4 linked regions of the Tamandua tetradactyla genome follow. The protein of the gene in region 4 purifies or fractionates together with the protein of the main gene of each other region. This does not show direct contact. Links are inferred from orthologs where the notes say so. Each region holds a gene or a part of one and is shown on either strand. Other genes may lie near its edges. The genes, in order: FAM117B, PTGES3, DCAF7 and DYRK1B.

What was found.
Region 1: the proteins of DYRK1B (region 4) and FAM117B purify together in Homo sapiens (affinity purification with mass spectrometry; 3 studies listed by BioGRID and IntAct, counting the BioPlex papers as one, with this or other methods). This does not show direct contact. The link is inferred for Tamandua tetradactyla from reciprocal best matches to the Homo sapiens genes DYRK1B and FAM117B.
Region 2: the proteins of DYRK1B (region 4) and PTGES3 purify together in Homo sapiens (affinity purification with mass spectrometry; 3 studies listed by BioGRID and IntAct, with this or other methods). This does not show direct contact. The link is inferred for Tamandua tetradactyla from reciprocal best matches to the Homo sapiens genes DYRK1B and PTGES3.
Region 3: the proteins of DYRK1B (region 4) and DCAF7 purify together in Homo sapiens (affinity purification with mass spectrometry; 10 studies listed by BioGRID and IntAct, counting the BioPlex papers as one, with this or other methods). This does not show direct contact. The link is inferred for Tamandua tetradactyla from reciprocal best matches to the Homo sapiens genes DYRK1B and DCAF7.

What each region holds. Positions count from the first base shown.
Region 1 is NC_135329.1:177,411,487-177,419,459, reverse strand, and holds the start of FAM117B (protein FAM117B), read right to left. Parts: upstream 3,010-7,973; 5' UTR 2,794-3,009; coding exon 2,187-2,793; intron 1-2,186.
Region 2 is NC_135333.1:123,760,018-123,767,356, reverse strand, and holds the start of PTGES3 (prostaglandin E synthase 3), read left to right. Parts: upstream 1-4,334; 5' UTR 4,335-4,971; coding exon 4,972-5,027; intron 5,028-7,339. UniProt on the Homo sapiens protein: Cytosolic prostaglandin synthase that catalyzes the oxidoreduction of prostaglandin endoperoxide H2 (PGH2) to prostaglandin E2 (PGE2).
Region 3 is NC_135332.1:4,679,038-4,686,122, forward strand, and holds the start of DCAF7 (DDB1- and CUL4-associated factor 7), read left to right. Parts: upstream 1-4,067; 5' UTR 4,068-4,289; coding exon 4,290-4,427; intron 4,428-7,085. UniProt on the Homo sapiens protein: Involved in craniofacial development. Acts upstream of the EDN1 pathway and is required for formation of the upper jaw equivalent, the palatoquadrate. The activity required for EDN1 pathway function differs between the first and second arches.
Region 4 is NC_135342.1:24,182,156-24,189,863, reverse strand, and holds the start of DYRK1B (dual specificity tyrosine-phosphorylation-regulated kinase 1B), read right to left. Parts: upstream 3,005-7,708; 5' UTR 2,674-3,004; coding exon 2,595-2,673; intron 1,274-2,594; coding exon 1,110-1,273; intron 38-1,109; coding exon 1-37. Other genes in the region: FBL (rRNA 2'-O-methyltransferase fibrillarin), read right to left, coding at 3,914-3,938, 4,068-4,213, 5,097-5,209, 6,380-6,512, 7,474-7,644.

The sequences.
Region 1 (7,973 bases), on a different chromosome or scaffold from region 4:
AAACCATTCCTGCCAACTCTAAAGAACACCTAGGGCTTTATCTGAGATCTACAAAGGTTCCATGTACTGTGATTACTTTCCAGAAACCTACAACCTCCAGATGGGTTTCTAAGCTAGTAAAGTCTTGAAACCCACAGGGGCCAGCCTCCCAAACATCAACTAGTTCCATCCCCCTATCCCGTATTAATAATAGCCCTTTCCTACACGAAAAAGTTAGAATGGGCATAGCCCAAATACCCCTAAAGATTGGGAGAAAGATCAAAGGAGAAGGTGGAGTTTTAACAGAGAGGATGGGACTTAACAAATGAGTATGACTGCTGAATCATTAGACTGATATTTCTTTCAGTCTCCAGTGTCTTGGAGCAGCTAGAAGTAAAAATCTAAAATTGTGGAATTATAATCCACACCGAATTCTGAAATCTGTTCCTCAACTAACCACTGTGGGGTGCTTTGAAATTTATTACTTTTTTGTATATATGTTATTTTTCACAATAAAAAAAAATTCCCTTAAAAAAAAACCAACATAAAAAACTAAGCACAGGGTGGACCACGGTGGCTCAGCAGGTAAGAGTGCTTGCCTGCCATGCCCAAGGACCTGGGTTCAATTCCCGGTGCCTGCCCATGTAAAAAAAAAAAAAAAAAAACTAAGCACATGTAGTTCTGGTGTACAATACAATTCCCAGAGTCAATCCTATATAGCATAAAACTCTCCCCCCTTTTATGTAATGTAAAATAGTTGGTCTTCGGAGTACCACAGAATAGAATTCAAATCTCAACTCTGTCACTTGTTACTTCACCTCTCTAAAGGCTATTACCAGATAGAGATCTTTTATGAAAATCACCTGCCATGTAGGAGCTCAATAAGCAATAGCTAGGTAGCATTATGGGGAGGAGAGGTTCTAGGGCTTTTCATAAATTAAAAACATATTTTGCATTCTGAAAAGATTAAAGACAATATCTCTTATTCTAATTAGAAAACGCTATTGATCATTCTCAGGGCTAGTTCTTAGCACAAAAAAAAAGGATTTGATGTCTAACATCTTTATAAAATAGTAAGACAGACGGCCTACTCCTTCCATTTCTGAAACTCCTGAAACAACTTGTCCAATTTATTTAGTCAGAAAGTACTGTACTAAGTTTCCTGAACTTCCTAGCCATTCGACTTGGAAGATTCTAACAGGAATTTCCAAGACAGAAAAAGGCAAGGTGTGTTAAATCATAACTAAAAATCTACCCATTTCTCTCTTTTTAATTAGATTCTGATAGGAAGGCAACCAGATGATAACTTTTAACCCTTTCCACCTCCCACAGTCTATTAAATTCTCTTTTGAGATACTCTTCTTTATGAATAACTCCATTGGAACCCAACAGCTCCATTCTGGACCTTTCCCAAGAAAACCCCCAGGCACACAGAGAAACATACAAAAAGTACAAAAAAACAACGTTTAGGTCCCTAAAAATAATCACACAAGGAAACAAACTTCGGAATGTTTTTTTAAATATAAATTCGGATAAATGGTTTTAAATCCTGAGCACACAAAATAAATATGTCAAATATACTACGAAACCCCAAACAAAACCCACAAACCTTCCAAAGGAATGTTGCTTAACTTCCTTCTCACTTCTTGCATTTACCGAGTCTTAAGAAATGCTAAAACGTTCTCTCTCTCACCTCGGTTCCTTGCTCCCAATCTGCCACACTAATGCATTCAGCCCTCCATACGTGAAACCGTTTTATGAAAAAGAAACACGAAGCAGCAGATATGTGCTATACAAACACTAACCAAAACAAAAAACAAGCCACTCCTAACCCACCCCCAACATGCGGTAGAGAAAAAGGAAGGAAGAGTAAGCAGTAACCAGAGGGCAGACAAGACCGACAGAATCTCAGGTTTATAATTAACACATATCCAGCCAAGTACAAGGTACGCGGCAGCAGCTCCACTGCTGGGGACGCAGCGCGGAACCGACTGCGATGAGCTAGGGCCGCCGCGCACAGCTACCTGGCACCACGCGGACCCTGAGGGAGGCGGGGCCGCACCACCCGGCCGTACATCCCGCCCCCGGCCCCGCCCCCGGCCGTACGGGCACAGCGGCAGCGCCGCAGTCCCGGCGCGGAAGCCCGGGGCATCCGGGACCCCTTCCCGCCGACCGCTCCCCCTCGTCGCGCGGCCCCAAGCACGTACCTGCTTTGCAAACCGGAGCGCTCGGGCTCCTCCTCTCCGGGGAGCTTCGGCTCTGCTCCGGGGACTTCCTCCGGTGGCGGACGCGGGCTGGGGGTGGGGCCACGCTCACCTCACCGGTCCACAGGTGGGTGGGCGACGAGGAAGGCGACGATACGGTGCCCAGTAGCGTCGGCGGCGGTGGCGGCTGCGGCCGAGGAGGGCTCCCGCGAGCCCCGGGTGCGGCGCTGCGCGTGGGGCTGGTGCCCCGTGTGGAAGTCGCGGATGCGCCCGTCTGTGTGGCCACCGTGGGGCTGGTGCGAGCCGCTGCGCTCCCGGTACCGCGCGTGGGACTTGTGCTCCGCGAAGCGGTGCGTGGGCCCCCACCGCCGCCGCTGCTTGAAGGGCCTGAGGCGCCACCATAGCAGCCACCGTTGTTGTTGCCGCCGCTGCCGCCGCCGTTGTTCCGCGTGGGGCTGCCATGTTGCTGCTGCTGCTGTTTCAGCTGGAACGGAACCGTCGCCCTCATGGGCTGCAGGCGGCTCCCGGCTCCCCCGGCCGTGGAGCCCGCGCCGCTCCCGAGGGAGCCGGCTGGCGTGGGGGACCCATTGCGCCTCACCCGCTGGGACATGGTCCCCCCTCCCTGGTGACTGGGCGAGACGGGGGGGGGTGGGGAGGTAGTTGTTGTAGTGGTGTTGCAGGGGAGAGAATTCTCGAGGATGAGGACCGAAGGGAAGGCCCCTGCGACGGGGTGACGAAGCTGGAATCCGGGGTGCGGGGGATACGGGGGGTGCCGGAGCCGCGGCCGGCAGCAACGAGGTGGTGCAGCAGCAGCCGCCGCCGCTCCTCCTCATCGACAATAGTGTCTCCTCCGCTGCCCCCGCCCCCCGCAGCCTCCCATTGGCGTAGCGTCAGCCGCGCTCGAGCCACTCGACCGCGCCTATTGGCTGACAGCGGCTTGGGTCCTGGGCCCTCGGGGCCTTAGAGAGCTCGGGTTTGCTTGAACACCGTCTGCTCTTTAAAGAGAAAGAGGCCCGCCCCCCGGGGGGGGGGGAGTGAAGAACACACACCGTGTGTAAGTGTAGCGTACGCGCGCGTGAGTATGTGTACATGTGAGTGTACACGTACTCGCGCCTTGCCACGCGCGTCTTTCCCTTCCCACTGGGGGGAGCCCTGGGGACTCAGACTCTGGAATGTTGCCAAAATGAATGTCTAGAACCTGAGCGGTCCCCAGGGATAGATAGTCTGAAGTCGTTGCCGCATAACTCATTTCTTTACCACAGTATTAATTGGCAGGGGCCGTATACGCGCATCTCTGGCCTTTTTTCCTGATGTATTTGCTCTGTAGTAATTCCATAAACGTATGGACAGGGCTCAAAGGAAGATGAAATTTAATTTATATTGCTGGCATTTTACACACACACACACAAACTTTTATTTTTTTTTTTTGCCCTACAAAGAACCATATCTCGAGTTCAAATTACTGGTTAGAATGCGATTTCAGACTGTATCTATGGCGTCCAGTTACCAAATGCCATTTCTACCCTGTTACATCTCAAGTAATCAAGAATTTAATCAGCTGTGTCAGTTCCCTGCCATCTTGGAAAGAGGTCTGCTACGTATGTAAAGTGCTATAGTCTGCAAAGGGTCCTATTTTATCTTCACAATGATTATCTGAGATAGAAGTGGGCCATCCACCCATGTGTTTATCTAGTCAAGAAAATAGGTCTTTGTAGTATGGGCAAGCACTCCGAAAGGCAGGCAGTAACACTAGTTCTAAAGTGACCTAAAGAACTCCTCATTAAGACAGAAAGAATAATGGGACTGCACCTCACCCACTCACTTCCCCAACTGCAGATTGTCTTTCTGGGGCCTCTTTTCCCTTAAATATTTTATTAGATAAACATTCTAGATAGATTTCACCTTGTAAAAATGTGGTAGAGGAGAACACAATATGACTCAGTCTGGACTTGAAAATTATTCTGGATCCCTTTGCACCGTGGTGGAAAGGCTTTACAACCCTAGAAAGGAGATGCAGATCCCATATCCACTTCTTACTACTCCTTGAGCAGATCGTGAGCCAGTTTCCTTATCTGTAGAATGCAATTAATGCCATTTCCTTCTTACAATTATGATTATTAATGAAGGGTCAAATGAAAATAGGGTGTGTAGATGGTGCTTGTGCTGGTTTGAAATGATGTATGTACCCTAGAAAAGCCATGTTTTAATCCTAATCCCATTTTGTAAAGGCAGCCATTTCTTCTAATCCCAATTCAATATTGTATGTTTGAAACTGTAATTAGATCATCTCCCTGGAGATGTGATTTAATCAAGAGTGGTTGATAAATTAGATTAGATGGAGGTGTGTCTCCACCCATTTGGGTGGGTCTTGATTAGTTTCTGAAGTCCTATAAAAGAGGAAACATTTTGGAGAATGAGAGCAATTCAGAGAGAGCAGAGCAGAACAACCTAGCCAAGAGAAGCACAGTCCACCAGCCAGCGACTTTTGGAGATGAAGAAGGAAAATGCCTCCCAGGTAGCTTCAAGAAACAGGAAGCCAGGAGAGGAAGCTAGCAGATGACACTGTGTTTCCCATGTGCCCTTCCGGATGAGAGAGGAACCCTGACTGTGTTCGCCATGTGCCCTTCCACTGGAGAGAGAAACCCTGAACTTCATCGGCCTTCTTGAACCAGGGTGTCTTTCCCTGGATGCCTTAGATTGGACATTTCTATAGACTTGTTTTAACTGGGACATTTTCTTGGCCTTAGAACTGTAAACTAGCAACTTATTAAATTCCTCTTTTTTAAAGCCATTCTGTTTCTGGTATATTGCATTCCAGCAGCTAGCAAACTGGAACAGTACTCAAAACTTTCAGATGTGATTCAGAGGCCCACATCTTTCCTTACCAGCCATTCCCCTTTATCCTCCCTTCTCCCCCACCACAGGGAGAGCCCCAAGCCTTAGTCTAGGAACCTGCCTTAAGTGGCTAGTGCTCTAAATACACCTGACATGACTACCTGTTCCCCTCAAGCTAGAATGAAGGAAAAAAAAGCTTCTTACTTGGCAGACCACATGCAGGAAACTGCGGACAAGATCCGTGCAGAGAGCTAAATCTGCTTTTAAAACAATGGGTAGGAGGAAAGATAAGATTTTAAATAGGGTGTCATGGAAACTGTATCTTACACTTTCCCCTGCAGAAAGTAAGATCTCAATACGTATTTACTGAATTAAACTGAAGGAAGTCTTGTAGTCCTGGTGACCTAGCTCACGTAACTGCTTTTGGTGTTGCCAAACTAGAGACTTATTTGTTGATATCCAGAGACTTTTAGGTCTTCTAACCTAAAGAACTTATTTTAGCAGAAAAAGTTCATTGAGGTGAAGAGTTAAATGTGCTTGGCTCAATTATGAGTTCTTGTGGAGCCAGTTCACCTTTTGCTTTTAGCCATGTTTCCTGCAGAAACTCAAATGGTTCATCTCCAAAATATACCTCTTTTTCATCTTGACAGCTTACCTCCCTAGTCGGTTAGGGCTTAACTTTAAACAAATGAGAGCACTGCACCTGAAGCACATATTAACCATTTCAGCCCCCCTTTTACTGAAGGATGTTTGTGAAGACTTGCAAATAAAAGCTTTGAAAGTATGAAACCATCAAAGAATGCTTTAAAAAAATGACTTGTATATCTTAGAACTCATCTCTTTTGAAAATCCGATAGCAATGTATAAAAGCATCATTAATATTTACCCTTGACTTCAACTGTTGTTAAAAATTCAAAGCAAATAATGTACAATAAGATGATGAATTAGTCTTCAGTTTGGTAGGTTATCTATGAAGAGAGTCCTTGTAATTCAAGGATCAACGAAATAAATGTCTTCCTCTAATTTAATTCTGCTTTTCTTAGGATATAATGCAAATTTTCCATTTTCTTTCCAAGGTTGAAATGTGACCTATGAAGAAGTTGTAGACCAGAAGCAATGTATTGGAATTGGTTTGTCTATATTTAAATTCCCAAAGGCAATATTATTGGTAGGCTAATTTGCTCATGTGCTTTTTTAACTCTTTAAAATCATATTGTTATGTAAAAGGATGATAGGTTCTGCAAAAAAGTTTACCTTCCTATAGCTTTTAATCTCCTTCTGTAGTTTTAATAGAACCAGGCATATCCATCAAAAAATTTCTAAAATAGTACTGCATGGAACATTATATCACTGCTAAAATGATAATCATGAAATCATAAATTACTTTCACTTTTAAACAAGAAAAATCAAAATTATGTATCTATTATAAATGTGACTTGGTAGTTAGGTTCAGGTATAAACTTGGCCAAGTGATGATGCCCTGTTGTTCTGTTTCTCTAGCCCTAAATCCTCAGCGTGTGAAATTCGTCTATGGCTGATTACATTTGCAGTCAGCTGGGGAAAGTACCTTCCACAATGAGTGAGGTTTAGTTTGATTAGCTGAAGGTTTAAAAGAGGTCAGAGGAGAGCTCAGTTCAGCATACCTCAACTAAGCACTCCCAACTCAGCCCAGATGTTTGGAGATACAGAAAGGAATCATCCCCGGGAAAGCCATTGGAACCCAGAAGCCAGACGAACTGGTAAGGCTAGTAGACATCACTGTGTGCCTTCCCATGTGATCGAAACTCAGATGAAAGTTAGCTGCCTTTCCTCTGAAGAACTATAAATTTGTAATTATATAAATCCCTTTATTAAAAGCCAATCCATTTCTGGCATGTTGGATTCTGGCAGCTTTAGCAAACTAAAACAGTGACATGCAAAAACACTTAGAAGCTATAAACAAATATTGGAAGGTAAAATACTGAAATGAAAAGAATATATTCATTTTTAAGTAAAATTTTGGGGGGTTATTTTCCAAGAAATGTTGATACATGGTTTCCTAATAAAAGGGGGAAATTATCAGAATTTATATTGTTCTCTATTTAAAATGTGACTGCTACTTCACTGAGACTTTCATATAAAACCATTTCTTTAAGACTTTACATAGCACCACACATTCCCAGATGTTCCTATTCCATCTCTAACTACTCCTCCGTCACTTTTGCTGGCTTCTTCTCAGTCTGACCCATAAATGGTGGTAGTACCTCAGGACCCTAGCGAAGCCTGTCTCTCTCCACTCACTCCCTATTCTGATAGCTTCATTTATGAGTGTCAAATTCTACTGATCATCACACTGACAACTATACAACTGCCTGCTTAGTCTCTTGTATATCTCACAGGTGCCTCAAACCTTGTCCACAATTGAATTCACTGTCTTCTCACCACCCACCCACTACCACCATCTGGCTCCTCTTTCAGTTTTTCTTCATCTCAGTAAATGGCACCACCAACTTGGTGGTCTAAATCAAAACCCTGGAAGTCTGTCTCTTCCCTCCTCACACCAAGCCCATTGGATTACCATAATTTATCTACTCTCTACTCTAATTCCTAAATTTCCTGTGAATCCATCACTGCTCTGCAGACCTATCATCTCCTCTAGCCAAGCTGCTATCATCTCTGGCCTGCTCTCTTAACACCCAACCAGTCTCCCAAGATCATCTCTGCCTCACTCCACCTCTTCAGACTCCCCACTCCACACCCGTAACCCACTCCCCCAACATCTCTAGTTGTCTTTTAAAAACACAAACCTTATCACTTAACTGCTTCAAGCTTTCCATTTCTCTTAGGACAAAAGTCCAAACCATATGACTTATCATACCTTCCACAGACACACCCCTGCCACTTCTTCTTCTCTAGGCTCCAGCTTATTTAATTTTCCCAAATACCCCACACTCTCATTATGAGGACTTCATGCTT
Region 2 (7,339 bases), on a different chromosome or scaffold from region 4:
CATTCTTCTGGTTACTTCCTACCATATTCAATTGAAAGAACACTGCGACGTATTTACTTACCCATAGTTATCCGAGAACTGCAATACATTTCATGGAAACACAAAATTAAAAGAAAACTTCTCTATTACCTGATTTATTCTGATGTCAGAGATTCTTGCTAATTTACATAGATTTGGCATATCATCACTTTTTATAGTCTTTTTTTTTTATGACTTGAACTACAGGTATATAAACTATAGGGTGATATTGGGGACAGCCCACTTTTAGGTTTCAACATATTTCATTTTTAAAAGTATATGAGCTTTTTAGAGCCTTTTCCTTCCCCTAGGGTTGTCCATGCTTATACCAGCCCACAATCAGAAAGCCTGGTAGCACCAAATCAAAACTTATGTGAAAAAGCTTGACACAAGACACAGTAGTTTTGTTTGGGTGCATAGGCCAGGAATTGAACAAGACACAGTAGTTTTTAACCCTTTCCATTACTACCAAACCAGACTGATAGGTATGCTTCTAAACTCTGGGCAGAGAATCCAGAAGCTATCTGCGATGATTTTATTTAGCTAGGTCATTGTCACATCAGGTTCATTTGTTAACTTGGTCAGGTGGTGGTACCCGATTGTCTGGTCAGGCAAGTGCTGACCTGTCTGTTGCTATGAGGACATTTCATGGACTTAAATCATGATCATGTTGGCTGCATCCACAGCTGATTACATTAGCTAAGGGAGCGTCTTCTGTGATGAGTGACATTTAATTTAATCACCAGAAGGCTTTTAAGGATTCAGAAGAGACACTCTACCTGCTTCAGCCAGGGACCTTCTGCCATGCACTTCGTCCACACCCTTCATCAAGTTGCCAGCTTCACAGCCTGCCCTGCAGACTATGAACTCTTCCATTACCACAGTTGTCCAGCCAACGTCTCCTGAAAGTTCGTTGACGACTGTCATCGTAGTTGCCAGCTTGCAGCTTACCCTACAGACCTTGGATCTTTACATTCCCAAGGTTGCCCAGGCAGCCTCTCCTGAGAGTTCGCTGAGGACCTTCATCAGAGTTGCCAGCTTATAGCCCTACAGACCTTGGATTCTACATTCCCAAGGCTATGTGAAACACTTTTATCAATTTCATATCTACAGATATCTCCTACTGATTCTGTTTCTCTACAGAACCCTAGCTAATACAGTCATGATGTCTCCTTTAAGCTTCATGGCCAATTTCCTTTTTCCTATATCCAAAAGAGATTCTTACCACTTTACCCCTTTCCCCTTTATATGACATATATAGATAACTTCCAAGGTCTTATTAGAAAATTCATACAACTAGACTGTGTTCATTATCTGATTTAATTTTTAAAATGTTTAATTGCTCATGTCAACATACAAAATTCTCTTTTGCTACTAGTGACTCTGGGCACATATTTAAATTCAGTTCTTAGAAAAATATCACAGAGAACTTGCTATGATAATTGACAAAATGTCTCTGCAATCCTTTGGCATATGTATTTTTTTAACTGACCTGACAATTTCTTCTCTTAGGAGACTGTTAGGATTAAATTTATGAGGTGGCATCTACTACTCACCACGTATTTTCTAGTTTCTGTTAATCCAGGTTGCAGATTTATTAAACACCCTGACACTGTAACTATACATGTTTGAATCTACATTTTGCCCCATACTAGAAATAGAACTATTAGTGAATTTGAAAATGAACCTGGTATAACTCAGGTCCCCACCTACTAATGGTTGGGATAACATCTAAGGGCTTGAATAAGCCTAATTACAAAGTATTTGTGAAACTTCTGGTAGAAAAGCTATTTCCAGAAGAACACTAAAATAAAACCCCTTGAAATATGTTTAGTGAGGAATAACTAAGGAAGTAAATAAACTAATGGGGGAGGGGAATAGCTGTAAATGAACCATGAATTAGGATACAAAAAAAAAAAAGGTAGTTTTCCCCGTAGCACTCTCTACCCTGTCTTTTGACAAGGGAAATTGCCAGAAATTTGGGTTGGAGTCTTCTATCTCTAATTCAGTTCTTTCATTTTCAGTTCATCTTATACTTTGTTACCAATTAATCTTTACAAATCTAGGACACAAGAGTGCTGCTCCCCGACTCAAAGAAACTTTAATAGCTTCCAAATGTGAGAGAGACAAGTTGCAATTATCCCGATATTCAGCATCACCATTATTTGGTTCTGACTATCTTCTTAACCATATCCTGAACTATTCCCTTACATTCTCAACTACCTAGGTCAGGGTTCTGCAAATTACAACCTGTACACGAAATCTAACACATTCACCAGATTTTTTATGTGCAGAATCTTAGTCTGTGAGCTAACAATGGTGTTTACATTTTTAATTGGTTGAAAAAAATTAAAATATCTTCTGATGTGAAAATTATAAGAAATTCAAATTTCAGTACCTTTAAATACTTTTATTGGAACATAACCATCCTTGTTTGTTTACATATTGTCTGTTTGTCTCATGCTGTAATAGCAGAGTTCAGAAGGTGCAACAAAAACAGCCAGCATGATTTCATCTGGCCATTTACAGAAAAAGTTTGCTGACCACTGACTTAGAAATACTTCTGTTTCTGTCTCTTCACCAATATTCCTGCCTGAATATACTAATCCGACTTATTCCTGCTGTCACCTCTATGAGGCTGTCAAAATAGAATTTTCAAAAAACTAAAAAACACGATTCTCTCACAAACATATAATTAACATAAACCAAATATCTCACTCACGAATGGAACCAGTAAAATGGCAAATAACATTTGGTTATTCACAGGCATAAAAATGAAAGAATTAGAATAAGATTGCTGGGTCAAACAAACCCGCTTAGTGTCCTTCAGAGCAATAAAACTGTAACTTTGGGATTAGTCTTCCAATAAAAAATCTACAAGTTAGTATGTAACTTCACGATGTCTGAGTTCTAATTATATAATAAATAGCAAAGACAAACATAGGTTCGTTCTCCTGTCTCCTGATAGACAGGTTAAACAATGTCCCAGTGTAAACTGAAAGGCTATCCCTCGGTGCAATGCCTTATTTCCAGGTTCTGGGTAATTTTTCTGAACAAAACCTACCCTCATTCTTCCAGCCCAAATAGACCTCTCCTCCTTTCAAGCTCCCATACTTTTTGTATTTCCATTATGGTATTCAATAATCATTATTTTGTCTTTCGAACAGGCAGCAGGCCCCTGAATCAGAGTAACAGCTGGGATTTAATCGCCCTTTAAAATGAAACTAGATAGGGTTCTATGTCCACAGTTCATGATATCTATCTTGCACAAATATAGACATCAAATATCTTATTGCTGAATATGAAACCCCCAAACACTCCCTCTGGACATCTTACAGCACTTTTCTTAAAACTCCTTTGGGTGCTCAGTAGCGGTGTATCGCTTTTGTTTCCCCCTCATTCTACCGTTTAAGTGTCCTCCTAGTGGGCAGGGCCCATTCTGATCTCTTGGTTAGCCCCCATTAGAGCACAACCCAGTGCCTGGCACAAAGCAGTTGCCCAAGAGATAACGGTTGAAGCAGACTGAAAGCCTCCCACCCCAAATTCACACACACACTGATGTGTCTGAAGTCTCTCCATTCTCTGACACCTGGCTAAACTCTCCCCTCAAACAACCTGTCTGGCCTATTAGTATCTCAAGAATAACCAATCCCCCCTTTCACGTCACAAGCCTCCAGAAAAATCTTCGTCCCTCGGCCTCAGCTTTCCTTCCACTATCCAACACAGCCGTTTCTCAGGGGAAGACGCCCAAGGAACAACGCCGAGTGCCTATAAACCCAACGGTTTTCTACCGGAGCGCGGAACAAGAGGCGGGAAGAAGCCGGCGCAGGCCGGAAAAGGGCGAAGGGCGGCGCCAGCCTCGGGAAAGATCGCGAAGGAGCTGGGAAGCTCCGCCCTTTCCGTAGATATCTCTAGAAAGCCGCGCGGGAGCCCGAAAACAAGGACTGCGCACGCGCGGCGGCAGGGCCCGGGCATTTTGCTGCGTCACCAGCCGCCGCCTGGCCTCACCACCCCTCGTTCTCACGCACGCACGTTCGTTCTCCGTCCTCGCGCCCCTTTTCTTACGCTTTCCTCTTCTCTCCGAGCCGCGGAGCCGCTCTCTCTGCGCGGTGCATTCTGGGGACCCAGGCCGAGCCCGCCGCCTGTGCCGTCGCCTGAGGGAAGCGTGAAGAGGCCACGACCGGGGAGAAAGCGCCGGAGTCGCGGCCGGAGAGGAGTCGACTCCCAGCAACTGCCGCCGGAGAGGCCCGCCCCCTGACCCGTTCACAATGTGAGTGCGCTATCCCATCGTGGGGAAGTCGGCCTTAGGGAGACCGAGGCCGCTCTGGGGACTCCTGGGCTGTGGGGAAACCTTGCCCTCCCCACCCCTCCCCCCGCCTTCGGCGCTCTCCGTTTTCTCTTTTCACTGGTGGCGGTTGTTACTATCTGGTGGTGGGAGGTCTGTGGTCTTGTTCGGTTACCGTTGGTGGACGGAGGACATTTTTCCTCCACATACCCGCTTCCCTCACCTCTAAACTGTCCCTCGTTTTCCCCATGCCGGAAATCCCGCTTTTCCCCCTTTGGTGGTCTGAGTTATGCGTAACCGTTCATAACTCGTCCTAACTTAGCTTTAGGCCTTAGGCCTTAATCTCCTTTGAGCCTTTTGCCATGCGGGCGCCTTGGAGGCATTTGACCCTCGTGGATTGCCACTTCGGTTCTCCGTCAGTCTGGTTCTGCCACTCTGTGTTGGGACCAGGCCCTGGGCCAAGTGCACCTGTGGTGGGTGCCACCAGAAGACTGATGGTGCAAGATCCTAGAGCCTTACGCGGCCCAAGGCCGTGAGCGACAGTTACTGCTAGGCAACGAGAGGGAGGCCATGCCGTCACCACAACTTTTTTTTTTTACCCTCTGAAGTGCCTTGATTTCTTGAGTATAGGTCCTTTCAGGCCTCTAAACTCAAGTATCTTGAAGGAAATGAAGGCTGCTAAAGCTCAGTCGTGTCCTGGCACCGAGGAGTTACCACTGAACAGGTAGTTTTGCACGTGTCGAACCTAGAGATACTTGTGGACATTGTGTTCCATATTAAACTGTAGGTGAGGTATCATTCATCTTAATTTAGAATAAAATAGGTACATAACTGTCTTGTGGTCTTAAGGTGTTCAAATTCTGTTTATGAGGAGGATTCTGTTGCCATCTTTTTCTTTTATGGTAAAGGAAAACTTTGGTGATCTTAACGTAATAAAAGCTCTTGACCTTTCCACCTTAAATCTATGTAAAATAGGTTTTGCTTATCCCTTTGAAATTTCTAAATAATTGTCAATATGGACTGTAGAGTACTAGTAGTGCTAAAGTTAATGTGGACTTTTTTTTTCTATCTTAATTGGATTCAGGGGGATATATTAACTGCTCAAAATGTTTATGTAATTGACAGCTGTAGGCTTTATATTCTTGTTGAAATCGTCCCATTACTCCCTTTTAAGTTTCCCCATTTGATAGTTGTTAGGTAAAGAGATTTTTTCATTTAATACTTTGAAAGTCTCTACTCTGAAAGTAGAAGAAAAAATGAATTGTCAGATAAAGCAGTACCAACTTTTAATGTGTATTAGAGCAATGTAGAGTATTAATATAGGGGAAGTACCATGTTTGAAATAGAAACACTTTTCGGAGGTCACTTTTTGGAGGTTAAAATAGGTAAGAAATGTTAAACTATGTAAAGGGTAAAATTGGGATGCCAAGTGTAGCAATCAGTATTCCAAAAAGCAGTCTGACTATATTTAAAGAATGCTGCCTTTAAAGTGAATTTTCTGTGAAGAAACCAGATAAATCTCATCCTCTTTTAAAATGTTAGACATGTGCTGTCTTGTAAATTCTTCAGGGGATCTTAAGAAAATCTGAGTCATTTATTTGAGTTGGAGAAGACTTTTAATGGATCATTTAGTCCTAGGAAAAATTGGCTGATAAGGGTTCCTCTTGGTGATGTCTATTTAAAACATTGTTTTAATGCTGCTTTTCTGTTGATTTGTTTTTTGTGCTGGATGTCTTGAAGGTTTGGGGTTGTGTTTTTTTCAAGTTTGGAAACTCTGTTAGTGATTTCTTAGTTAAATTTGTCTAGTAGCCTACATAGAAGTTTCCATCTCTCTCCTACCTTGGAGAAGGCTGGGATCTTAAGACCTCCTTACCCATTTAAAACCTCCCCAAAGCTAAACTTGCGCTGTGGTACTTTGCATTCTCTTTTAAATTAGCTATTATAGTTGGTTGCTATTGGATCCTAACAAGAGAAGAAAGTAAAATATTTTATTTAGTTTTATTTGAGGTATTTGAAGGGTCATTCTTTCTGTGCCTTGTTGAAATCATCCCATTAATTTATTATTTAAATTAATAAATTTTTGGAAACATAAAATGACCATCTTGAACATTGATTTAAAATCTTACTTTGCTGTTCCTTAGCTTTGTAGGTTTGAATCTCCAAAGATATCAAACCTCCAAAGCAAATTGTCATAGTGAGCATATGGTTTACCACTAATTTCTATTTAAAATGAGTAATTGGTAAGTTAGGGAAGATGATAGCCTTTGTTCAGTGTTGATTTTCTAACCACTGTAACCTGGCAGCTGAATTTCCTTTTTTTTTATTATGCTCAGTTAGCCTTTAACTAGAAGGCATTAGAAATCACTTGAGTTTAGGCTAGTATTATATTCGAAATTTAGAGTTTCCTATTAAATTATTCTCGGTTTAAAAATTCTGAGGCTATATCATTTTGGGGTCTTATGTGGTTAATGATTGTGCCCTTCAGGGATGGGAGGTGCTTTTTTTATTGAGATATATTTACAAACCATCTGAAGTATACAATTACTGGCTCACAGTATCATCACATAGTTGTGCATACTAGAACATTCTCATTACTTCAGAAAAAAAATAAAAAGAAAACCCAAACCGTCCCATATTCCTTATTCACCCCTATTGATCCTTAGTTTTTGATATAGTATATTTGTTATTGTTGGTGAAAGAATATTAAACCATTACTATTAACTGTAGTCATAGTTTTCAGTAGGTACGTATTTTCCCATAAATCTCCTCTGTTAGCTCTTTATAATAATGTCATACATTTGTTCTAGTCCATGAAAGAATGGTTTTGTATTTGTACAGTTAATCACTGGCGTTGTCCACCACAGGATTCAGTGTGTTAAACATTCCCATGTTTTAACCTCCAGCTTTCCTTCTGGTGACATTTGGGAGATGCTTTTTTAATACCAGTTAGAATCAACTTAGCTCTTAAAAAACTTCAGATCATATTTTATCTGAGTTCTTAAATTGAGAATTGTTGCATCTGGTGTATTTTGCTGT
Region 3 (7,085 bases), on a different chromosome or scaffold from region 4:
TGCAGGCCAGGGCATGGAGTGGTTACAGAGGGTGGGCCCGGAAACGGGCTGGGCATGGGTGCTCCCTTCTGTGACTTAGGGACTTCACTGAGTGCCTGGCTGACAACTGTGCCAGCCTTGCTTTTTTAGGATGGTGAGCCCTATTTAGCTACAGTTCTCCCCATTCTCTGAGTGTCCCAAAGCACAATGCCAAAGACATCATTATGAGGACTGAAGAAGGATGTATGCGTGGCGCCTCGTCATTATTATTATGGGAATCAGGGAGGTGCTTAGGGGTATTGGGGCAGGGGCTTCGGATCCTAGTGGGGAAAGGGTTTTAGTTACCATGCTACACAAAACTGAGATCTGTCCTCAGGACCTGAACTGCTCTCACCAACCCTGACCCTGACTATGGGGTTCTGTCTGGCAGGCTGGAGTTCCAGATGACCTCAGACCTTAGGCGCATCCTACAGCTCCTTCAGCAGCCCCCGCCCCAGGGCCGCACCCACTCCATCCAGGGAGCCCCTGCCTCCATTGACCTGCCATTGTTTCCTGTGACCTCAGCAGCTCAGAGTCCCTGGCCCAGGCAACCCTAGGACGGCCTGCCGCCTGCACAGGTGAGCAGGTGAGGGGATATCTAGGAGCTTGCCTGGAGCTGTTGCATGCCGCCTCCCCCAGCATGGCTTCAGACCCAGGGCCTCGGTGACCCAGAGCAGCTGTGGCTTCTACTGTCCTCTTTGGTTTGAGTCATGACAGGGCAGTGTGGAAGGGTGGTGGCAAAGCCCAGATTGTGACCTCCTGGCTGGGACAAGGGTGGCAGGTGCCTGAGGTTAGGAGGAGCAAGCATAGTTTCTGCCAATTCCCACCCCTGAAGTCAGGGTGGATGAACCTGTAGCCTGGCCTGGGGGCTGCCCCTCTGCATGCCTCCAATCATTTCTTGCCCCTCCTAGACCTCAAGCTGTAGAGACTTGGACAAATGTCCACTGAAGAGCAGGAATTGCTCCTCCAGGATGCATCATCTGCTTGTGGCAGTGGGCAAAGCTCTGGCACCATCCTCGAAACAGGAGAAGCCTGAGGGGCTCCTGTCACCTCTGGCCTCACCTCTGTGTCCCCCAGGGGTTCAGGGGCCCATCTGTGGTCCTCGCTTCCCCTCCCTCCCTGAATCCCTTGGCTCTGTCCCTAAGCAGCTGGCGTTCCAGAGATATGGCTCAGATCCTGGATTTGCAGGAAGTTAGAGCCCCTGAATTCCAAGATAAAAGACATTCTGAAAGGATGAAAGTGGGTGGGGTGAGTGTCAAGGATCCTAGGGGAGGCAGACAGCCCCAAAATGCTGTCTGAAATGGGCCTCTGAAAATCATTCTCCCGGAGTAACTTCAAACTGCTAACTTGCGTGACCCAGGTGGCGTGGGTGAAAAGACTTGGGATTTTTCCAGCCACCCCCAGGGTTCTGTTTAAACAGCACACCTGGTGGAGGAGTGGGTGCCTCTGGTATGGAGTAGCTTAGAGGACTAAGGAGTCAAGGAAGTAAAGAGAAGTTTCTGTTTTCTATGGGATCACTTCTTGGCTCAGACCCAGCCCGACCTCATGGCCCAGGACCCAGCACCCATGGTTGAGGGTCAGTCAGACCTCCTGCTGAAAGCCTTTGACTTGGCTGAAGATGATGGCCTCCTCTTTGGTTGACCTGCCAAGGCACAGAGCTCCAGTCCACCCCTGACAGTTCTGTGATAACCTTGGGGCCCATGTAGGTAGTAGAGTGTCGCAAAGTAAGCAGCAAACACAAGTCTGTATATTTCATGTTGGCTCAGGTGTATAATCAGGTCCTCAATAGCTGTGGTCTTCTCCAAGCCCTTCTCACATGCAGGTGGGAGCTTGTCCTTCACATCCACTGTTGGAAACCTGAAAGGTGGCTCCTCTGGACCCAGGAGCCCCCAGAGCATGGGCTCTTAGCCAGGCCAGGGAGAAGGGAAGCAGGGAGGTGCTGACTTGGTGGCTGTCAGGAATCATGCCAACTGCCATACACACACATAGCCGTCATCCTGTGCTGGCAGCACGCTGCCCACTTTGAAGACTGTTCATCTAAACTTCACAACAACCCTATGGGGTTGGTATTATTACCTCTATTTTAGACATGTGGAATCAAAAGCAGAGTAAGACTAAGAAACTTACCCAAGCATGGTGGGAACTCCCAGGGGGCTGGTCGTGTTCTGTTTCCTGATCTGGATGCTGGTTACATTCTGTTTATGTTGTGAACAAATGTGCACTTCTATGTGTAAATTCTAATTTGGTTAAAAAAAAAAAAAAAGACAAAAAAATTTTTTTTAAGTAAAAAGAATCTTGCCCAACACAGTAGGAGGATATAATTTCAAACCAGTCTCTGGCTTGAGAACCTGTGCAGTTAAGCACTGCACTGAAATAGGCTCTTCTGTCATTTTTGCTCAAGTACCCCCTAAAGGAAATTTGAACATTTGTATCCCTCCCTAATGCATTTTTAAATTGACAGCTGAACTATTTCACTGATAAGTTTAAATCGTTGCAAAAGATGTGATTCCCACTGTCTTGTAAATATTGACACTTTATAAAATTGTTTTGTCCCTTATTTATACTGACTCGTGATCCAGATAGCATAGTGATTTGAAAGCCATCGTTATCCACAAGAACAAGCCCTTCTTTAACATTCCTTTTTCTCTTTTTACTCATAATTCCACTACTTTCCCTGTTTTACTCTACATGCATTTCATGTTCATGTTTCAAAGACTATTATTAATCACCCTACAACATCTGTTTGCAGCACAAACAGGAGTATAAATTGAACGTTTAAAATTAATTTTTTGAAACGTTGCTAAAGCTTTAGGAGTTACATTTATTCTTAGTATAAAGTTGTTCAAAACAAGATAAATATATATTCACATTTTAATAAAAACTAAAAATTTTGAAATGCATTCCTTAAAGAGATTGAAAGGGAATTTCCCCCCCAATTAGGTCATATATCTGTGGATGAATATCATTACTTTTTATTAGAATAGGGTAAGCCTCAGCAACAGTTTTGTTGGTATTTTTCTTTCTTTTTTCCCTAAACTTCAGTGCAGAAAAAAACTTTTTCACATAAATAAGTGGCTAGGACTAGAAGGGGGTTGTTACAGCACTGTTACTCAATTCTTTTAATTTTTTCCGAGTTGTATAATAATCACATTTATCATTAAAAATGGTATTTAATGATATGATCTAACAAGTCAATGCAATCTTCCTTCATTTTTGTTGAAAGCAAAGAATTGGAAACCATTTAAATTATAAAAAGATGTTACCCAGATTTTCATTTTCTCCATTTCAAAGTCACGGCACTGATACATTTCGGGCTCGGTTAGCATTTGCCTCGGGATCCCGTGGGGGGAAAAGATGGGATGGGATGGGATGGGACGGTACCCGAAATGAACCTGGAGCCAAGCTGGTCGTGCAGCTGTCTACTGAAGACCAACGAGAAATCCGAGCATATCTGGAATCGCAGGAGAGCGCGGGAAGGTCTGCAACAGGCGGGTCCGAGGCCCGTCCTATGGGCATGGGAGAATAGCTGTCCGGGTTAAAAGGGGCGTTGGAAGCATGCGAAGCGGGGGTGAGGGAGTGTTCCCGTTCCGTGCGGGTCAGGTTGCCAAGCCGCCGGGCTCAGTGCCGCGAATGCAACAGGCAGAGTTTAAATTTTACTCGACAGCGTGGAAAGGCCGCTTAGAGTAACTGCAACAGCGGGTAGGTCACAGCAGGTCACACAAGAAGTTTCACGCTCAAAGACTTGGCCTAGAACTTGGAGGGCCGCCTGCCTGACAGGCTTGCCTCTCTACCCCACGCCCCATTCACCCGCACTGCGCTGTTATCCCTCTGATTGACATCTTTGTCAGCCAATGACCTTTGTGGCTAACAAAGCGCCTGCCCCCAGGAATTAGGCGGGACGAGAAGTTGGAATGGCACGCATTTACGCCAATAGAAAGGAGGCTTCAAAAGCTACGGTCATAATAACCAATGAAACGAAGGAATGGTTCGAAAGGACGTGTCAGGCAGCCAAAGGCCGGAGCCGTTGTGGTGGTCCCGTGGCTTCCGTTCGGAGGGGGCGGGGCCGCGTCCCAAACGGAAGGTGGTTGTTGTCGGTACCCTAGCAGGTTTGAAAGTGGGGGTCGGGCCCGGCTGCCTTTTCTCTCGTTGCGCCCCCGCCCCGCCTCCCTTCGGACCCTTAAGTCCCAGGCCCGGCTCCCAGCCCTTCTTACTCCTCGCCGGCTGCGGTTAGCTGCCGACCCGGCCCTCACTGCGGCCCTGCCGCCGCCACCATGTCCCTACACGGCAAACGGAAGGAGATCTACAAGTATGAAGCGCCCTGGACCGTCTACGCCATGAACTGGAGCGTGCGGCCCGACAAGCGCTTTCGCCTGGCGCTGGGCAGTTTCGTGGAGGAATACAACAACAAGGTGGGCCGGGCAGGGCTCGGAACCCAGCTGGCGGGGAGCGGGCCCCGGGAGCGCCCTTACGGAACTGGAGCCCAGACCCCAGAATCCCCCTGCGGACTGGCCTTAGCGCCATGGAGCCGTTCCTACGTATCTGGCCCTGTGCTGAGGGTTTCTCTTTTTTTTTTAATTGTGGCAGCACTCGTGTAATCGGAAGTGTCGTTATCCCCATATGACTGATGGGGAAACCGAGGCACAGTGTTGTGACTCGTCAGGCCAGACAGCTGTTTCGTGACGGAAGCAGGTCTCAAACCTGAGTTTACACGAGCTACGCCATTTATCCCTCCCCTCCCCTCCCCTCCCCTCCCCACCGCTCCCCTCCCCTCTCCACCCCTCCCCTCCTGCCGCAGTGCTTCAGTTGGGGGGCGGGGGAGGGAACAGGGAGTGATGGCTGTGAGGGAAATGCCAGCGCTTCGGTTGGTGGTCGTTCTTTCCTGGCCACACTAGATTTCCCTTTAGGGCTTAGGGCTGTTTTTTGCACAGGCTGCCTCACCTCCACCCCCAGGTACTGTTGATGATTCCCAGCCCTTCTGCCGCTAGTGCCATCGGTATTGCCGCCTGATAACCGTCCACTCTAAAGTGATCTCTTTTTGAAAGTATTGGCGCATGGCAACGGACCTTCCGTTGTTTCCTAAGGAAGGATGATGCTTTTTATAATGTTATTTTGGCTCCTTTCATGCGAATACAGATGTGTAACCTTGAGTAGTCTTTTTGGATATCCACCAATTTGAGAAGCCTTCATAGAAGCTTTGGTAGGAGAGGAAGCTTTTACGTTGGCAGTGAAGCATGCATTTAGTTTTGAAAGTTGTTGACTAAGTCGGGGGGGAACTATTCTTTCCTTTACCCCTTGATCTCCTTTTATTATATTTGAGTAAATGTTGTGATTGATAGTGATCAAGAACAACCGAAAGCTTTGACTGGTGATGTTTAAAGCCAATACTCCCGTTTAAACCATGATAACAGACTTAGGAAGAATAAAATTGGACAGTGAAAAGCATGGTGCAGGGAATAAAAAGCCAGATGGTCTAAGGTTGAATCCTGTCGGTACATTGCCCAGCTGGGGGTATTGCACAGTTGAGTTCTATTTTGACCCACAGTGTGCTGTAGGAAAGGGGTTCCTTATTACATGTCAAAAGCCTGTAAAAAGTATTTGAGAATATTGTTTCTTTTGTTTTTCAGGAATATTGTTTCTTTTGTTTTTCAGGATCACGAGTTACTCTAGAGTATGTCTTAATTTTTTTTTTGTAGTACCCTTTGAGAAATTGATTAAAGCAATGGACTTGCATTGCCTACATTGCATGTAAAAACAATTTACGGACAAACCCTAGGAAGTATGCACTGATGTTCAAGTCCACCCATTGCCCACAGACAACAGAGTCCTGCGCAAGACATAGCTTTATCTTCTTTTCTCTGATGCCGTTTATTCCTTATGGCTGATCCATAGTGGACAACAGAGGTTGAAATGGATTTTGGGACCCTGATGTGGAAACCGTGTTAGTAAAATTAAGGCCAGTAGAACTACTGTTTAAGGACGCATGTTGGAAAAAAAAAAAGTAAAATATGTTTTTCAAAGGTCTGGAGTCTTCTCAAACAAGACTTTTCTTACTCTTTGCACATTTTTTCCAGGGTCGGTCTGATAAAAATAGTAGTCCCATTTCTAAGATAGGGGAAACTGAGGCACAGGCTGTCATGGAATCTGTGGAGCAGTTAGTGTCAAACCTCAGTGGCAGAAACTCTGTCCCAAGTTTGTCCTTTCCTTCAGAAACCGTATGGTTCTCCTCCTTTGTACTGAGCACACACGATAGTGAAATGCAAACTAATAATTCTAGTAGTAACAGATTAAATGAATACTTGCGTCTTAATTTGCTTGCATGATGTAGTCAGTGCAGAATCTTAAAACTATTTTCATGTCTCCACCTCTCCATAGGTTATGGCTTTTAACTTTAGTATGTGTGCTATGTACACCTTTGGCAGTCTGCAGTCTATAGATCCTTTCTCAAAAATTTTTTTTTCAAATCCATAAATTTATAGGAGTACCCAAAAAAATAGTTATATTTAACTACAGTTACCAAAACATTTTTTTAAAGTGGTGATGTAGTAATATGTACTACATCAGGTCATTTAACAATAACTAGTATAATTATAACTGTAATTTTGAAATAGCAAAGAGGGTAAACAGCATTTCAAGATAGGCTTAAAACTAATGTGAAGTGAAAAAAATCAGTGACTTCTATTGGTGACAAAGTCACAGATACTGCTAATGCTGTATCTCCCTCCATCCCTTATTGAAGGAAATGCTAAATTTCAGCTGAAGGTTAGTGAAAATGGGAATATGTTTCCAATTGAAGTTCGTGGACATCAGGGGGAACCCCTAGAGGGTGGTAGGCAGTAAATCCCACTTTAAAGCAGTGGTTCAGATACTAAGTTTTTGAGAACCCTTTCCACAAAAGTGGAAGACTTCATAATTTAGAGTAATTAAAAAGTTATTGGTTAGAATTTTCAGATCTTTGGTTCCTGCTTACCACAGATAGTGACTGCTAGCAGAAGACAAAATCAGTGGACACCTCGCAGATTAATATTGATGAAAAAGCTCAGAAATGGCTTTTTTTTTTTTTTTGGTGT
Region 4 (7,708 bases):
GCCTCCGCGGCAGTAGCCGCACATCAGGCAATACCTGCTGGGCAGGGCGGGGGTGCCTCACTGAGGACAGGCAAGACCCATCATGTCTGACCTCAAGGGGGAGAATCATATGGACATCTGGCTCATTATTACCCCACGCAATCACCTATTTATATGGTCATTCTGTCTACCCAATTAGAAATGAACTCTACAAGGTCTGTCTTGTTCTTACTATGTCTCCAGGGCCTTGAGCAGGGTCTAGTATGTAGCGGATGTTCAACAGAAGCAATGGGTGTTGACTAAATAAGGGAACTCTTTCCCCCTGGGCCTTTAGCCAGCATTCTGACCCACACCTTCACTCCTTTCTGAACTTCAGTGGGAGAGATCATAGGGGAAACCTTCCTAACCTTTTAGCAGGAGAGACAGCCCTGCCCTAGCCCCCACTCCATTCTGGGTGTCCCACCTCTATGCACCCCCATCTCACTTTACCCTTATCCCTTAGGGTGTTGCTTCTCACCTCGCTCCCCCCTCCCTTGCCCCAAGCATCTTTGCCCTGTTCTTTCATTTGAAAGGTCTTGAGAACCTGGATCCTATACCCTGGACCTCCCATTCCATCCTGTTTCAAGATCTACATGTTAGAACCTCCACCATCTCTACCATTGGAGTGCTTTACCCTATACCACTCAGGCCCTGTTGGTCCCAAGACCCTTAGGTCTCAACCCTCCTCTCCATCCACTCCCTCCAGATCCTTCACTCTAACGTTTTCTTAGTAAGCATTATTAGGTGTTTCCTAGGTACCAGGCACTATTCTCGGCATTTTACATGCATTTCATTAACTTCTTTAATCCTCACAACAACTCTGTGAGGTAGGTTTTGATATTGGCTCCATTTCACAGATAAGAAAACGGAAGCATAGAGAACTTAGTAATTTAATCACCATGCCAGGATTTGAACCCAGGCTCTCCAAACCCTGACTGCCAGCACCTTTTCTGTTATCTTCTACAACTCAGGGGCCCTTCACACCCCTGGATACTGTCTGGGGCAGCCACATTCCATCTCTTGGCCCTGAAACCCTTCTATTCCCAGCCTCCCTTGACCCCAGGCAGATGAGGAGCTGGGTGAACGCATACCTGCGTGTGCTCCTGGGGCCCTGGAAAGCCAGAGAAGGGACCATGGCCTGGTGGGACGGCCATGGTGGGCTCAGAGGGCCACAAGGGAGTGAGGCCTGGAGCGGGAGCCCGGCCGGGGGGCGCCTTCTCGCATCCTGCACCTCGGCTGCCACCGCCGCTGAGACCTGAGAGCAGGCAGGGAGGCGGGGGAACAACATGGAACAGGGGGATATGTGGGACAGTGCCAAGCAGGGAACAAATGGATATGACAGAGAAAGCAGGGGCACAGAAGGAGGTGGAAAAGGGTGCAACAGGTGGCAATAAAAAGAGGGAAGAGAAGTGGCAAGCCAGGTGGGGGGGCAAAGCAAAGTACCTCGACAAATGATCATTAAAAAAATGAATGAGGCGGAATAAAGACAGGGATGCATGAAAGGGGATGAAGAAAGAGGCAGGCAAGAGCAGGGGATTTGGGTCATGACAGGAAAGGAGGACAGAAAGACACCAATAATTGGAGGGAGGAAAGAGAAGAAAATGATAGAAACCACAGGCAGCATGGGAAGTAGGGTTCATTCTTTTCTTCCCATTTCTACTCGTGGCTCTCCCCAGGACCCCTCACCTAAGATCCCACCCTCCTGCAGTCTTCCTGAACATCAGGATCTCATCCTCTATCACCAAGACCCCTCTACTTCAAGGCCTACCCTTCCCAACACATCCCCAAATGCAGAGAACCCTAGAAACAAGAGCTCTCTGGAACCTCCCCCAAGCCATAGCAGGGTCTTCTATAGGACCCCTAAACCACATCAGGTTCCTCTGAGGACCACCCAGCCACCCCAAGATTATCTGAGATCCCCTACAGACCAGAGTCCTATTCTATGGCAACCTCATTAACCAGGGCACACCCTTCCTACGGGACCCGCCTCCCACTGTTCTCCCAATTTATCATGCCAGGATTTCTTCCCTTTATCGGGTCCTCCTTCCTCAGAGACCACCCTCTAGGTAGTCTCCCAACCAAAGCCCCATTCCCCCATGCCATATCTGCAGTATTTCTCATGGTACTCCAATGTTCCCCTTCCAAAGCCCATTTCTGATGGAACCAAGGGGGGGGGAGCCTCTTCCCATGGCTTACAGTGATCTTCCTTCTTATTTCCTCTACATTGGATCCTACGTCCACTACCCAACATTTCCCCCACAGCTCCCCTTTATCAGGGTCACTACACAGCCGCGCCCATTCTTAGGAGGCCCACATAGCCAAATTCCTCAAATATCACATAGGGTTCTCTCTCTCAGAACACTGAACCACACTAAAGTCCCTCTCCCAAGGGCTTCCACCCGCACCCACACAACCCCCCTATGTCAGATTCTTTGCTCCTAAGCAAGGTTTTGCCACTCCAGGCCCCACCACTCTTGGAGTTCCACTCCCTGGAAGATCGCCCCTCACCCCCAAAACAACCTATAACCCAGGGCCCTCCCACAACAGGACCGTCTCTCTCAGCCCCCACCCCATACCCGGGTCAGGGCTGGCGCGGAGCCCACTGGGGGCTGGGGCGCGGTGGGGCCCCCAGTGGGGCGGGTGAGCGGCCAGCATGGCGGCAGTGGCGGCAGCGAGGAGGCGGCCGTCTGTCCCCAGCCCGGCCGGCCCGGCAAGCCCCGCGGCGGGGAGGGCAAGCGGGACAGACGGCCCGGTGGGTGAAAACAGCAGCCACCGCCACCGCCACCGCCGGGGGCGGGGAGAGCAGGGAACGAGGGTCAACCCGGGGCACGCGGGGGAAGGGCAAGCAGGTGGACGGGGGAGGGGCGAGCTAACTCTCGCACCACTGGCCCCCCGCCTCTGGGGACCCAGGCGTCCCGCCCCCCACCCTGGAGGCCCGCCCCGGCCTGCGGAGAACCGGCGGGCGGGGCCCGACTGAGCTTGGCAGTCCGCACCCTGCCATGGCAACAACCGTGCAATTGGTCGTCGCTGCCAAGAACTCGGCCAATCATAGTCCAAGATGGCTGTTGCTAGGCAACGACGATGCGGCCGGCGGAGCCAAGCCCAAACAAAGGGCGGGAGCCAGGCCTGGCTACCCCCTCCCAACTTTCCTCCCAAGATCGCTCCCTCGGGCTTGGCCCCTTCCAGGAATCCGACTATGAATAGCCAGGCTGGGCCTGCACCTGCCCGCCCTCCTCACCCCCATGCCGGGGCCTTGTGCTCATTCTCGCTGCGACGCGGCCAGGGCGAATTCCGCCCTCCCCTCCACTCCCTGCGAGCGCATGCCACCCCACTCATCTTCGTTTCGTTACCTGAGAGCGCAGGCAAGGGGACTCAAACTGCTCGGGAGGCCCGAGCTCTGACCTGCCCACGGGCGGAAGGTATCCGGCGGACGCAGCAAGCCAGAGCCACGATTACCCAGTAATGCAACCAGCAAAATGGCGACCACAACAAACCAACCCCTCCACCCCGCCCCAGACTCCGCCCTCGCCCCGGACTCCGCCCTCACCCCGCCTCCCCACCCCCGCCCCTTCACGTGACCCAAGGAAGCAATCCGCGCCTGCGTTTAGTGGGCACTACTACCAATCATGCGCAGCGAGTCACTAACCCCGCCTAGGCGCCGAAAACCGGATTACGGCTGCGCAGGAGACCGCTGAAAACAGAGCATGCGCCATGTAACAAGATGAGACTTTCCACCCCCACTCAAGAGCACCAAGGGCGCATGCGCCAGGTGGACAACAGCGGTGGCAGAGCAATCAGCTGCAGACAACGGTGACAGAAGAGTCTTTTAATAGAAAAACACACGTGCAACAGCAACCACACAATCTCTCGCAATCCTGACAGCGGTGAACTTCACTCAGTTCTTCACTTTAGGAGGTGGCCTGTGAGAGGAAGAGAGGAGATGAGGGGAATCTCCAAGACCATGGGCATTCCCAACAAGAACTGACCCACACAGCTCTGAGTTTAAGGGACAGACATCTATCCTGGTAGATTACTGGCTGCCTGCTCACCTGTACACACCCACAACCACAGCATGGTCTCTTTCGTAAGGCTCTAAGGTCAACTGCTCTTGGGGCTTCATGTTCTCCTGTTGCATCTTTTTCACTTCAGAGGCAAATACGGCCTCGGCGGAGGCTGTAGAGTCAATGCAGTTGGCCTATAGAAGGAGAGATTTTAAGTCCGCAGCAAGGCTTTGACTTCTGGTTTCCCTTTTTTTGTGCTCTTTAAACCAGAAGTATTTGTTTTCTTTGGAAAGTAAGTGACCCTCAGGCTGAAGAGGCCAACAACAATCATTACTGTCTCTTCTATGGCAGGGTTTCAGAAATGTGGGGAAATGCTTCATTAAAAAAGCTTTCAGTTTCGTTTGGATTTGAACTAGGAAGCTTTAATCACAGCCCCTAAATTTTACATATAAAACAGAGTTTGTCTGTTTTTTCTTCTTCCTCTTTTTCTTTACTAAATTGTAATAGTAATAAGCCAGCTAAGAATAACAAAGCAAATGTAGCAAAAGGCTGGCAAATAGTCAATCTGGGTGAAGAGCATACAGGACTAAGTTCTCTGTATTTCAAAGTTTAAAAAATGCATCTAATATTTATCTTATATTTAATTTTATGCCAGAATGTTCTGAACACTTCACATATGTTAATTCTTCACGTATACCCTAGAGATAGAACTAATATTTCCATTCTACAAATGAAGAAACTGAGGTACACAGAGGTTAAGTAACTTGCTCAAACTCACAGAGCAAACTGGGATTTAAGATTCAGTCAGGATCAGTGACCATGCATTTGACCACCACATATTAATCTCTAAATCCAAAGCTTTTAGTTTTGCTGACATTTTGGTATCACGTGTTATATGAATGGAGTTGGAGAACAAATGGTAGGGGGCTGGAGTAGGGACAGAGGCTGGGAGTAGACTGACTGGAGTAAGGAAGATGGTGACCCCCTTGTTTCACCTGGCTGGCTGTCACACCCTGACAGAGAAGAAGCCATCCTGGGACAGTCCCATCCCATCTTACACACCATCAAGTCCCCCACCTTAATGGAAATCACAAAGTGTCCTCCATTACGCAAGAAAGTGTGGGCATTCAGGGCCACGATCCGGGTCTGGTCTGGCTGGGCAACGTCAGCAAAGATCACATCCACCATTGCTAGGGAGAGAGGGGTGGCGTTTAGAAGTCGAGCCCACCAGAGATCTTCCCAGCTCCCCCCCTTGGGCTTGTGCCCCATCATGAGCAGATGCTTGGCAGTTTCCCTGCCTCCAATCCAACTTCCCCCACTGATCCCCCATTCCTCCACAGCATCCCCAACATGGTTGCCACCTACTCTGTGGCCAGCCCTGGTGACACAGAGACAAGTCAAACCCGGACCCTGCCCTCAAGATGCTCCCAGGCCTGGCGGGGGAGACAACCAGGTCATCAAAAAGGCAACTAAAGGTGAGCACTAATAGGCAAGAACGTCTTCGGGGTTGTCAAATGAAAACAAGTCGCAGGACAAATATATATGAGAATACGGGAAAAAAACTCAGAAAGAAAAACAAGTGGAATGACAAAGTAATGTTTAAAGCCAGTGTGAGTAAGGAGTGGGGGTAGGGGAGGAAGGAAACTTTAACAATTGAAAAGATGGTGTAGGGCGGTACAACAGTGGATCAGCAGGCAGAGTTTTCGCCTGCCATGCCAGAGAACCAGGTTTGATTCCCGGTGTCTGCTCATGCGGGGCGGGCATGGGGTGGTATGATGAAAACTGACTTTTTAAAATTCACAACAAGTAGCCATCAAATTGTTTACGTCAATTACCTCTGGGGATGTTTAAAAGGCTTTCCATTTTTACATCATGCTTTTGATTTTTTACAAAACAAAATCATATGTTACATTTCCAATTAGAGAACAAAAAAAAATACAGGCATTAAAATATCTACAATGGCCCCCTGAGGGTCAGAGCCAGCTCAGTTTGTGCCTCCTGGGCTAGGATCATCAGATAATGAACAGCATCTTGGAGGGGGTTCTACACACAAGTCAGGAGCAGTGTAGAAAGTACTGTGTTTTGGGGGGGAGGCTAGAAGCACAGGGGTCTAAGGAAAGATTTCAAAAGAGAGGAGGCTGGCTCTTCAAGGGTGCCAGACACCTGAGACCATGGAATGGGGCCCCCACCTCCATAATCTCAACTGATTCCCCCATCCCTTCTCACTCCTACAGACTCTGAGGGACTGCTCATTCATTCCAATTCAGTCCGATTCAGGGCTTAGATAGGCTCTTCCAGGAAACCTGTTTCTAGGAGTGGCCTATCCCACCCTACCTGGGCCGACGCCCAGGGCCCCTCACCAATGAGCATGCGGTATTTGTGTGGGTGCCGAGCATCTTCAATGACAGGAATTATATTGGTCCTCTTCTTGGCCAGGTTAATGAGGTCACGGCCAGAACGGTGGGAGAACTCAACTGCATAGACCAGACCATCCTAAAACAAGGCAAGTAATAACAGTGATGGTATCAGTGCTCATATGGAGCCACTACTTACTAATGGGCCTACGCTCTGCATGCAGCATTTCTTCCAACCTCCAAATCAAAATCCTATCATTTAACAGCCATTGTTATCAAGTCTACTTCATAGATTAATAAACTGAGGTCCTGGGATGTGAAATTATCAACCAAGGATTATTCAGCAAGCAAGTGAGCCTTCCAAACACCAAGTTACCTAATCTGAGAGCCCAGGCTCTCAATAAAGGCTTAAAAACAGGAAGCCAAGGCACAGAATGATGAAGCACAACAGCTAACAAGCATTTGCCACATGCCAGGTACTGTTCAGAAACACTGTGTAGAAATTAACTTGTCTAATTTTCACAAGTCTGTTTTCCAGGGGGTAAAGTGAGCCCCGGAGAGATAAATAATCTGTCCAAAACGACATCACTGTTAAATGGCTAAGCTGGGATTTGAATCCAAAGAGCCTGGCATCAGAGCCTAGGGTCTGTAACTACTAAATTACACAGCCAGCAATCACATAAACGAGAAAGGGGTCACAAAGGGAGATGTACAGCCTCCCTCTACAGATGGTATAAATTGAAATGCAGGCCCAGAAACTCTGAGATCTCCTGTTCTTTCAAGATAAACCAGAAGCCTGGATTTTGGGGACATGAATTTTTAACAAGGGCAACCAATTCAAATAGTCTGATACCGATACTCCTAGCTCTGGGCCCCTCTAATGCCTATGCCCCTTTCCCTCAGGTCCAGAAACCCAGAAGCGAGCTTTGGAGGGGCCTCCTATCCCCTTCTAGAAGGCAGAGCCCGGTTCTGTGCCACAGTGAATGGAAGCAGACAGGACTCTGACTCGAGGCTGGCAAAGGAAGGCATCTTTTCTTTCCCACTCACCTCACCACCACTCTTACATTTTGTCACAGATTCTCACCCCCACCCCCACTCACCGGTCCTACAATGTCAGAGACGTGGGAGACAGTGGTCCCCGAAGCAGCCCCAAGGTAGAGCACCTTGGCCCCCGGCCTAATGTGGATCTGGTCTACGCCGCCCAGGATTGCTGCTGCCAGTTTTGAGCGGAAGGGGTTCCATGCACGGTACTCAATTTTGTCATCTCCTTCCTAGGCCGGGAGAGATGGGGAAATAAGTGCTGGGCTCTTCTCCAACAGCCCATATCCCTTACCC